2 linked regions of the Daphnia pulex genome follow. Each later gene encodes a partner of the first gene's protein in a complex. Links are inferred from orthologs where the notes say so. Each region holds a gene or a part of one and is shown in the gene's direction. Other genes may lie near its edges. The genes, in order: RNA-binding protein spenito-like and N6-adenosine-methyltransferase catalytic subunit-like.

The links.
Region 2: RNA-binding protein spenito-like (region 1) and N6-adenosine-methyltransferase catalytic subunit-like share a complex: the UniProt entries of both Drosophila melanogaster proteins name them as parts of the WMM complex. The link is inferred for Daphnia pulex from reciprocal best matches to the Drosophila melanogaster genes nito and Mettl3.

What each region holds. Positions count from the first base shown.
Region 1 is NC_060023.1:11,551,090-11,555,408, forward strand, and holds the start of RNA-binding protein spenito-like, read left to right. Parts: upstream 1-1,422; 5' UTR 1,423-1,564; exon of another isoform or gene 1,565-1,649; 5' UTR 1,650-1,698; coding exon 1,699-4,000; intron 4,001-4,066; coding exon 4,067-4,080; 3' UTR 4,081-4,319. Other genes in the region: mitochondrial inner membrane protease ATP23 homolog, read right to left, coding at 62-298, 358-543, 615-696, 765-810, 883-1,069. UniProt on the Drosophila melanogaster protein: RNA-binding protein that acts as an associated component of the WMM complex, a complex that mediates N6-methyladenosine (m6A) methylation of mRNAs. M6a modification plays a role in the efficiency of mRNA splicing and is required for sex determination.
Region 2 is NC_060028.1:8,119,321-8,123,616, reverse strand, and holds N6-adenosine-methyltransferase catalytic subunit-like, read left to right. Parts: upstream 1-1,335; 5' UTR 1,336-1,508; coding exon 1,509-1,662; intron 1,663-1,718; coding exon 1,719-1,932; intron 1,933-1,993; coding exon 1,994-2,115; intron 2,116-2,178; coding exon 2,179-2,291; intron 2,292-2,345; coding exon 2,346-2,472; intron 2,473-2,535; coding exon 2,536-2,738; intron 2,739-2,808; coding exon 2,809-2,965; intron 2,966-3,034; coding exon 3,035-3,201; intron 3,202-3,280; coding exon 3,281-3,406; intron 3,407-3,537; coding exon 3,538-3,716; intron 3,717-3,847; exon of another isoform or gene 3,848-3,908; coding exon 3,909-4,014; 3' UTR 4,015-4,134; downstream 4,135-4,296. UniProt on the Drosophila melanogaster protein: Catalytic component of the WMM complex, a complex that mediates N6-methyladenosine (m6A) methylation of mRNAs, a modification that plays a role in the efficiency of mRNA splicing and is required for sex determination.

The sequences.
Region 1 (4,319 bases):
ATAATTGTATTTCAATGTGATATACATTCAAGATGATTGATTTCTGACTATTTTGACATGGCTATTCGTATCCGTAATTGCCTTTTTCTTCGTAGGCACGAATCATATCCGCCGAATTGCGACGAATCCGACGGCCAATCGGCTCAAGATCGTTATAACATTTGATAAAGACTTTATCTATGGCTGCTAGCGCTTCTTCTTTCGTGACGTCTGGACGGACGGCCATCACTGAGCCCAATGCTTTCATTTTGACGCATTCGGCGTGTTGTTTACGGATTCGGAAAGGCGAAGCGTCTCCCTGTAGATTAAAAAGCCATATAAAAGGTTGCTCAACGTTTTGATCACACACTTTTTTACCTGAAACATGGCCGACATGAAACTACAATGGGTCAGGTTAGCTGCTCTGATTTCCGTGCACGCCAAATGGTGGATATTTTTAAAATCAAGTTGGTGTCGACATGCGTCAAACATGTGAATCATTTCGTGTGTCAAAATTCCTTGAATTATTCCCTTGTTCCGAACTACATTCTGGCATACTACTATCTATAGACATAATCAAAAGATTATCATTATTAATTGAGAAAAAAGGACTATTTATTATCTGTAATATTTACTTGATTAAGTTTTGGATCATAGCCACCAGAAACCGAGACATCACAAACTTCACAGGCAATGTGTCTCCTCAAATCAATTTCACTATGTCAAAATGCGAGAAGATATTGCAGCATAAATGAAATTTAAAAAACCTTAATTTTATTTCATACCATCCAGATGATTTTAATGCACTGTACATTAACTTAACAAGAGGACCTAAATGAATCAAATGGAAGGATTAATTTACAACTGAATTTTGTAAGAAAACGTAAGTTCAGAGATGTTTACTGTTTTCAAAGCAATTGTAGACATTCCTTTCACATGTAGTTTTTTCTACATTGGTTTGACCAGCACCAAACAAAGCAATCTGCCACCATTTCGCACGTGCAGCTTCACCCCTTCTTTCGGGGTACAAGTCGTAACCCCAATTGTCTTCTTTGTCCACAGGTGCAGCTTCCGATGGTTTATCCGACATAATTATACACCTAGACTAGAAACATGCAATTAACACTGAATAACAATACATGCATCGTAGTAAAGTTTACGATGTCTTTACTTTTACAGGTACTTAATGAGGTTGTTTTGAATTTTTGCTGTTTTTAGTTGTCCGTGTTATTCAGCAGACGACAGACTGCCGGCTGAATGGCTTTACAGCATTGTGTGGAATTTGTTAAAATATTGATTGATATATTAAATTAAAAAACAAATCAAAATATTTCCCAATTAAAATAAAGAGTTTAATTGGAAATTCTCGATATTAAATTCTTAGGTATAAATTGCTAAAATGTAGCATTTTGCAATGCTGCCACGGAATGAAACCCCACCCCCAGAAGCTAAAATTGTCAAAGCCGAGTCCAAACTCAGAATAGAGCTCCGCCATTTTCTTCTACTTGTTCGGACGCGTTCTTTTTAAGCTCTGGTTCGGTGAGAAATACTCGTTGCATAACTGTTCGCAAGACCCACTTTATTGGTTAGTGTGTTTAGTTTTTCATCCATTCTCAAATATTGACGTGATTGTGAAAATGTCGTTGGTGATAATTCATCTTTGTTGCTAGGTTTACGTTGTTTAACATTGAATCGTTGATTGTTTGACAAGTCTTCAATATGAAACGCGTGTCCGACCGTGATGCATCGCCTTTCAGCAAACGCTCTCGTTCAAGCCTAGGCCATTATGATGAAAGCTCTGATGATGAGAGAGGTGGAGCTCCTCCTCCAAGACGTAGGCGTTCACCCAGCCCCAGTCACCGATCAAGATACCCTCTGCCTCCCGATCCACCAGTGATGAGGGAACGAGATGACTACCCACCACCAAGGTCTCGTCCACCACCCCCATCGACTGGTTACAAGACTCTCCTTGTCAGCTCAATCCATCCCAAAGCCAGTGACGAAGTTGTCAAAGACTCGCTCTACAGAGAGTTCAAAAAGTATGGTGAGGTTAGCATCAAGTTGGTGCACGGTGCTGAACCAGAAGACCGTTTGGCCTATGTTTCATTCAGAAACCCTGAAGATGCTCGTGAAGCCAGGCACAGCAAGCAGCGAATCATCTTGTATGACAAACCAGCTGTGCTCGAACCTGTTTACGAACCCTCTACCGCGCGAAGCACCAGGGCGCGTTCACGAAGTTATTCACCGTTGCCATACCGAGGCGAAGAAGAGCGTTACATTCGACCTCGTTCCCCAGATGATCGACACCGCATGTACGACGATCGTTACGATTATTCTCTGCGTGGATATGGTCCTCCACCTCCAACTGGCATGTACAGAGACTATCGTCCACCACCGTACGACTATCCTCCCCGTGGACCGTCATCTTACCGTGGTCACTCTTATTACGGCGCTGGAGGACATCCACCTGTCCCCCATTATGAAAGAAGTGAACGAGGTGGAGGTAGTCGAGGAGGTGGTGGTGGAGGCGGTGGAGCTGGCGGCGGCGGAGGTGGAGGTGGAGGAGGTCGCAATGAAGAAGGAGGCGGTGGAAGAGGAGATCGAAATCACGACCGCTACGAGAACAAGAAAGATCGTTTCCCAAATTATTTGCACCACATCCCGCCAGAAGAGGATCCATTGGCTACTCGGACTCTTTTCGCCGGTAACCTGGAGATCAACATAACAGAGGAAGAGCTGCGTCGCATCTTTGGCAATTACGGCATCGTCGAGGATGTTGACATCAAGAGACCGCCTCCAGGCACTGGCAACGCTTACGCCTTTGTTCGTTTCGAGAATTTGGACCAGGCCAATCGGTGTAAAGTCGAGCTTTCTGGCCAGTACATTGGCAAATTTCAAGTCAAGATCGGTTACGGTAAAGCCACGCCCACTACACGCATCTGGGTCGGAGGTTTGGGCTCGTGGACGTCGCTGGCACAATTGGAGCGTGAATTTGACCGTTTCGGCGCCATTAAGAAGATCGAATACAACAAAGGAGACACGTCGGCTTACATTTTGTACGAGACGATTGAGGCAGCTCAAGCAGCCGTTCAGGACATGCGAGGCTTTTGTCTGGGCGGCCCGGATCGGAAACTGAAAACTGACTTTGTTGACACCAATCCCCCGACAGCTCATCCGCCAACTGCCAAGACTAAAGGATCGTCTTCTTCCTACGATGCTGCCACCGCTAGAAGTGGAGCTGGCGACGATTATGCCGGCGAAACCAACTGGAACAATGGAGATGATCCCAATTATCGTGCGGGATCCGGTCGGACGGGTCGAGGAAACCGAAGTGGCTACGAGAAGAGGCCTAGCGGATATCGAGGATCAGGAGCCGATGGTGACGATTGGTCGGCAAACAGCAGCCGACGTCCTCCACCGGATGATTTTGACGCTGCCCGAGGAGGTTCCCGATCGCCGTCGAATGAAAGGCGAACCGACGACGGTGGAAGATTCACTGGATCCCGTACGCTGGCGGAAGTGGCTCGACGTTCTCCCAGCAATTGGACGGGCGCCTTGGTACTCAAGAATTCGTTTTTCCCCACGAAATTACACGCGACATCTGGCGAAGCGGCGATCGCCGATCTTTTGCTTCACGACGAGAAGAACCAGCCTCATTTGCGAATTACTCAGCGATTGAGGTTGGATCCGCCCAAACTGGAAGACGTTTCCCGTCGAGTTTCAGCTTCTGCGTCTCACGCCATCTTCCTCGGCCTGCCCGGATCGACAGGCGGAGCTTCCAGTCCCACTTCCGACGAGGCTGCAGGTGTCCAGAATCGTCCGCTTCGCAATCTCGTGACTTATCTCAAGCAGAAAGAAGCGGCTGGTGTCATCTCGCTGGCCAATAAGAATGCAGATGTGACTGGCGTCCTTTACGCCTTCCCTCCTTGCCCATTCGCTGCCGATCTACTCCGACGAGCAGCTCCGTCTCTGTCTGACGAGACTCTAAAGGATGATCACTTGGTGATAGTTGTAGTTAAAGGTATATTCAATCATTTCTAACTATCGTTTCATATTTTAATATCTTTCAATTGTATTATTTTGACAGGAGGAACTGCTTAAAACACAAATCAATCGACAACTGATTTACTACCATCTCTCAGACAAAGCCCGCGCACACCTTTAATCTTCTACCAACCGCTACCAAGATTTTTCACCAGCATACGAACGACATCTGGGTTTGGCCGTTTTGTTATCCCTACAAACAAAACCATAAAATAAAACTTTACCATTTTCTTGACCATTAGATGAGCTCTGTCAATCCTGACCTTTCTTTACTTTTTTTCTTGCTTTAACGTTTT
Region 2 (4,296 bases), on another chromosome or scaffold:
CTGGATGTGACTAGTGACTTGAAAGTTCCAACACGACAAGAGGAAGGACGTCCTAGCAGACGACTTCTAACCAACGTGAACGAAACGAAAGTTCCCGAACCGACACTAGTGCCACCTTTTTATTTATAAAAATATGATATGCAAATTGGATCGGTTTACGTTACCTAGTGAATGGTAATGTTAATTTTTTTTAATAACATGGATCCTTGATCCGTTTTTGTACTTTGCTGCCCTTGCCAATTTCCAGAAAAGGCCATCTAGCGACCGTCTAAAATAATATGGAAATTTAATAGGACAATATTTTCAGTTTGATATTTTTATATCTCAGTTAAAATATTAAACACTGATATGTTCAGCCCCCCTTAAATATTTCAATTGATCTAGTCTTCATAAACCCAAACTTTATCAGCTGGCTGCCATGAAACAAGTTCTTCATCCCTGAACCACAAGGCAATTTCCTTGTTGGCACTCTCAACAGAGTCAGATCCATGCATGATGTTCCTAATTTTAAAAAAATTTAACATGTGGTGTAAAGTTATCATTCAAAACTAGTCTTACCTGCCAACTTGAATACAGAAATCTCCTCTGATGGTACCAGGCTTGGAGTCAGCAGGGTTGGTCTCACCCAACATTTGACGGCCAGTCTTGACAATGTTCAAACCCTCCCAGACCTGAAAGTACATTGCATGTATTAAACTAACAGTTAATTGCAGCTAAAGAAATTATTTCTTTACCATTGCAACAACTGGTCCAGATGCCATGTACTTCACCAAACCAGCAAAGAATGGGCGGCCAGACAGGTCAGCATAGTGTTTCTGCAACATCTCCTCAGTAGGCTAGTGACACAAACAAGTTAAAGAACAATCAGAATTAATGGCAGATCCAATTCCTTATAATTAAGAAGTGATTCACACATACCTGGACAAATTTGAGTGCGACCAATTTGAAGCCTTTCTGTTCGAATCTTTTGATGATTTCACCGACGAGTCCTCGCTGGACACCATCGGGCTTGATCATCAAGTAGGTACGTTCTTGGTTTCCAGACATTTTATTGAAACTTACTTTTGATCGGGACTGAAATTAAAGGAGAAGACCGGCTGACGTACTGGATGTGACTAGTGACTTGAAAGTTCCAACACGACAAGAGGAAGGACGTCCTAGCAGACGACTTCTAACCAACGTGAACGACATTTCCCGAACCAACACTAGTGCCATCTTTTTTTTTATTAAAAAAAATATGATATGCAAATTGGATCGGTTTACGTTACCTAGTGAATGGTAATGTTAATTTTTTTTAATTACATGGATCTTTAATCCGTTTTTGTACTTATTGCTGCCCTTGCCAATTTCCAGAAAAAGGCCATCTAGCGGCCGTCTAAAATAATATACACTGAAAGCAGAATGAAAACAATCTGGCTGCTTGTCTGACATTTTCTATCATATGCCGGTTTGTTTGTGAAGTTTTGTTGTTCTTATAATCCCTCACATTTATTTTGATTTGTTCCAAAATGTCTGACGCTTGGGAGGAGATTCAAGCTGTCAAATCAAAAAGAAATGAACTTAGAGAACGGTTACAAAAGAGAAGAAAAGAAAGAGAAGATCTCCTTGGAGGAGGCGATTCAACTTCAACTGTTAAAACAGATAGCAATCAAAAATTTTCAGGTAAATGAGGTTCTAGAACAATGATTCTGATTTTTCAACATTTCTTTTCTTTCTAGATGAAGCATGTGAGATAAATCTGTCAAGTTCCAGCAAAGAAGCCAATAAAGATATTGAAAATTGTGTTCTCAGGATATTAACCGATGCCACACTTTCCTTACCTTCAGATTCCAGAATCATTTGCCATAATGTTTCCACTCAAATTGGATATCTAGTTTCACACACAATTGTCAGTAATCTTCTCCAAAAATTTGCTGCTCAAGAACTTATTAGGTTTGTGTTGTGTGTACACATTTGATTGAGAATCCATATTAAGTATTATTCCATTTCAAAGACTTGTAGATGGCATACAGGAAAATCAGCCAGTACTTACCATCACACATGCTGAGCATGCTCGTCTTGTTGCTATGGTTACTGAAGATCAGTTAGGAAATTCCATATCCTTGAAACGAAAGCGTAATATTCTGTAAATTTATACTACTTTCCACTCTTTGGAATCTAATCATTGCATCAAAACAGAAAATGAAGTGGAAGCTGAAGAGTCGGCTTTACCAGCACAAACTGTAACAGTGAAAGAAGATCTATCTAAGTCCAAAAGAGAAAAAAAAGATTCCAAAAATGATGATGTCATGGTAAAATACATATGTTCACTGTTTTAATACTTATATAACTTGTTGTTTCCTTAGAACTTGTTATCGCTTCCGTCGACACGAGAAAAAGAAAACAAGAAAATGGGCGAAGAAATTCTGGATCTTTTGTCGAAACCAACTGTCAAAGAAAAATCCTTAGCAGAAAGATTCCGTTCACAAGGAGGTTAGTTGACCCTTACGCGACAAATTTTTTTTTGTTACTTTGATTATTAGTAATTTTCTTTAGGGGCTCAGGTTAAAGAGTTTTGCGCCCACGGAACTAAAGATGAATGCCGTAAAGTTTGGATGTCTGAATCAGATGACGGTCTCGAAAGCAAATGGAATTGCCATCGGCTTCATTTTCGTAAAATTATACAGTCACACACAGACGAGTCACTTGGAGATTGTTCTTTCTTGAATACCTGTTTTCATATGGAAACGTGCAAATACGTGAGCTTGTTGCGCAATGTGCATTCCCCCTAGACCTTCTCATTTAAATTCATTTTCTGGAAAATGTTAGGTTCATTACGAGGTTGACCAAGCCATTAAAACAAAGGATGATTTTGAACCCGGCTCCTTGCTCGGTCAGGCAGTGGTCTCGCGAGGTGAAAGCACTGTCCTGTACCCAGCTCAGTGGATTCAGTGTGATTTACGGTCATTGGATATGGCCATTTTAGGTATATGCAACCTTATGTACAGGTCCCATGGTTTTTTTTAATACTCTCTTTTTTACATTTATGATTCAGGTAAGTTTTCGGTTATCATGGCTGATCCACCGTGGGATATTCACATGGAACTTCCATATGGAACCCTTTCTGATGACGAGATGAGACAACTGAGCATTCCTATCCTTCAAGATGAAGGATTGATATTCCTCTGGGTTACTGGTCGAGCCATGGAATTGGGCCGAGAGGTATCATTACATTTTTAAAATAGTTGTTCAACATGTAGCAAAATCAACCAAGTGACTCACGCGTGTTCTCTCTCTCTAGTGCCTTCAGCTATGGGGCTACGAACGGGTCGATGAAATTATTTGGGTCAAGACAAACCAGCTACAAAGGATTATTCGAACAGGTCGAACAGGACACTGGTTAAACCATGGGAAAGAACACTGCTTGGTATTGACGTATTTTCTCACCCTACTACACCTTGCGTTTTAATCACTCTACTAAGCTAGTTAGTAGTTACGTATATATTCTACGAACGTACTTTCCAATACATGCGTATCTGGATTTTTGTTTGGTTATAGGTAGGTATGAAGGGTAATCCCAGAATGCTGAACCGCGGACTGGATTGTGACGTCATCGTGGCCGAAGTGCGGGCAACCAGCCACAAACCAGACGAAATGTATGGCATTATTGAACGTCTCTCGCCCGGAACGCGCAAAATCGAGTTGTTTGGAAGGCCTCACAACGTACAGCCAAATTGGTGTGTTCATTTACTTGACCTTCATGCATTACGTACTCACTGTCCTTCAATTCCGTTCTGCCTATTTGACGCCCGACGTAGTATTTTTGCTCTTTTCCTTCTAATATTTTGTGGTTAGCTTTTCATGGACGCTAGTAAGGAAATGAGAATTTTATCACGTGCAAGTAAATGACATTGTTACATGATATTTAGGATTACCCTGGGAAATCAACTCGATGGTGTCCATCTGCTTGATCCAGACATTGCCCGAGCCTACCAGAAACACTATCCAGATGCCAGTGCCCCCAATGCCAAATGAAATTTGCGAATCGCTCCGAATTACTTTTTTCCGCATTTTCAACGTTCATTCATTTTGATCCACCCATTTTTAATAAGTGTCACACACCTCGATTGCGTAAAATAAAAAAATTAGAAAGAAGAGAATGATAAACTTTGTTACTGGATACTTTTTGTTGCACCTCAAGAGGCCGTTGTTGAAATTTGAACGATTTACACCGCAAAAGTCCGCGACTTTACCATGCATTGATCACGTGAATCATGCCTTTTTGTTCAACTGAGATCGTCAAGTTGAGAAAATAAA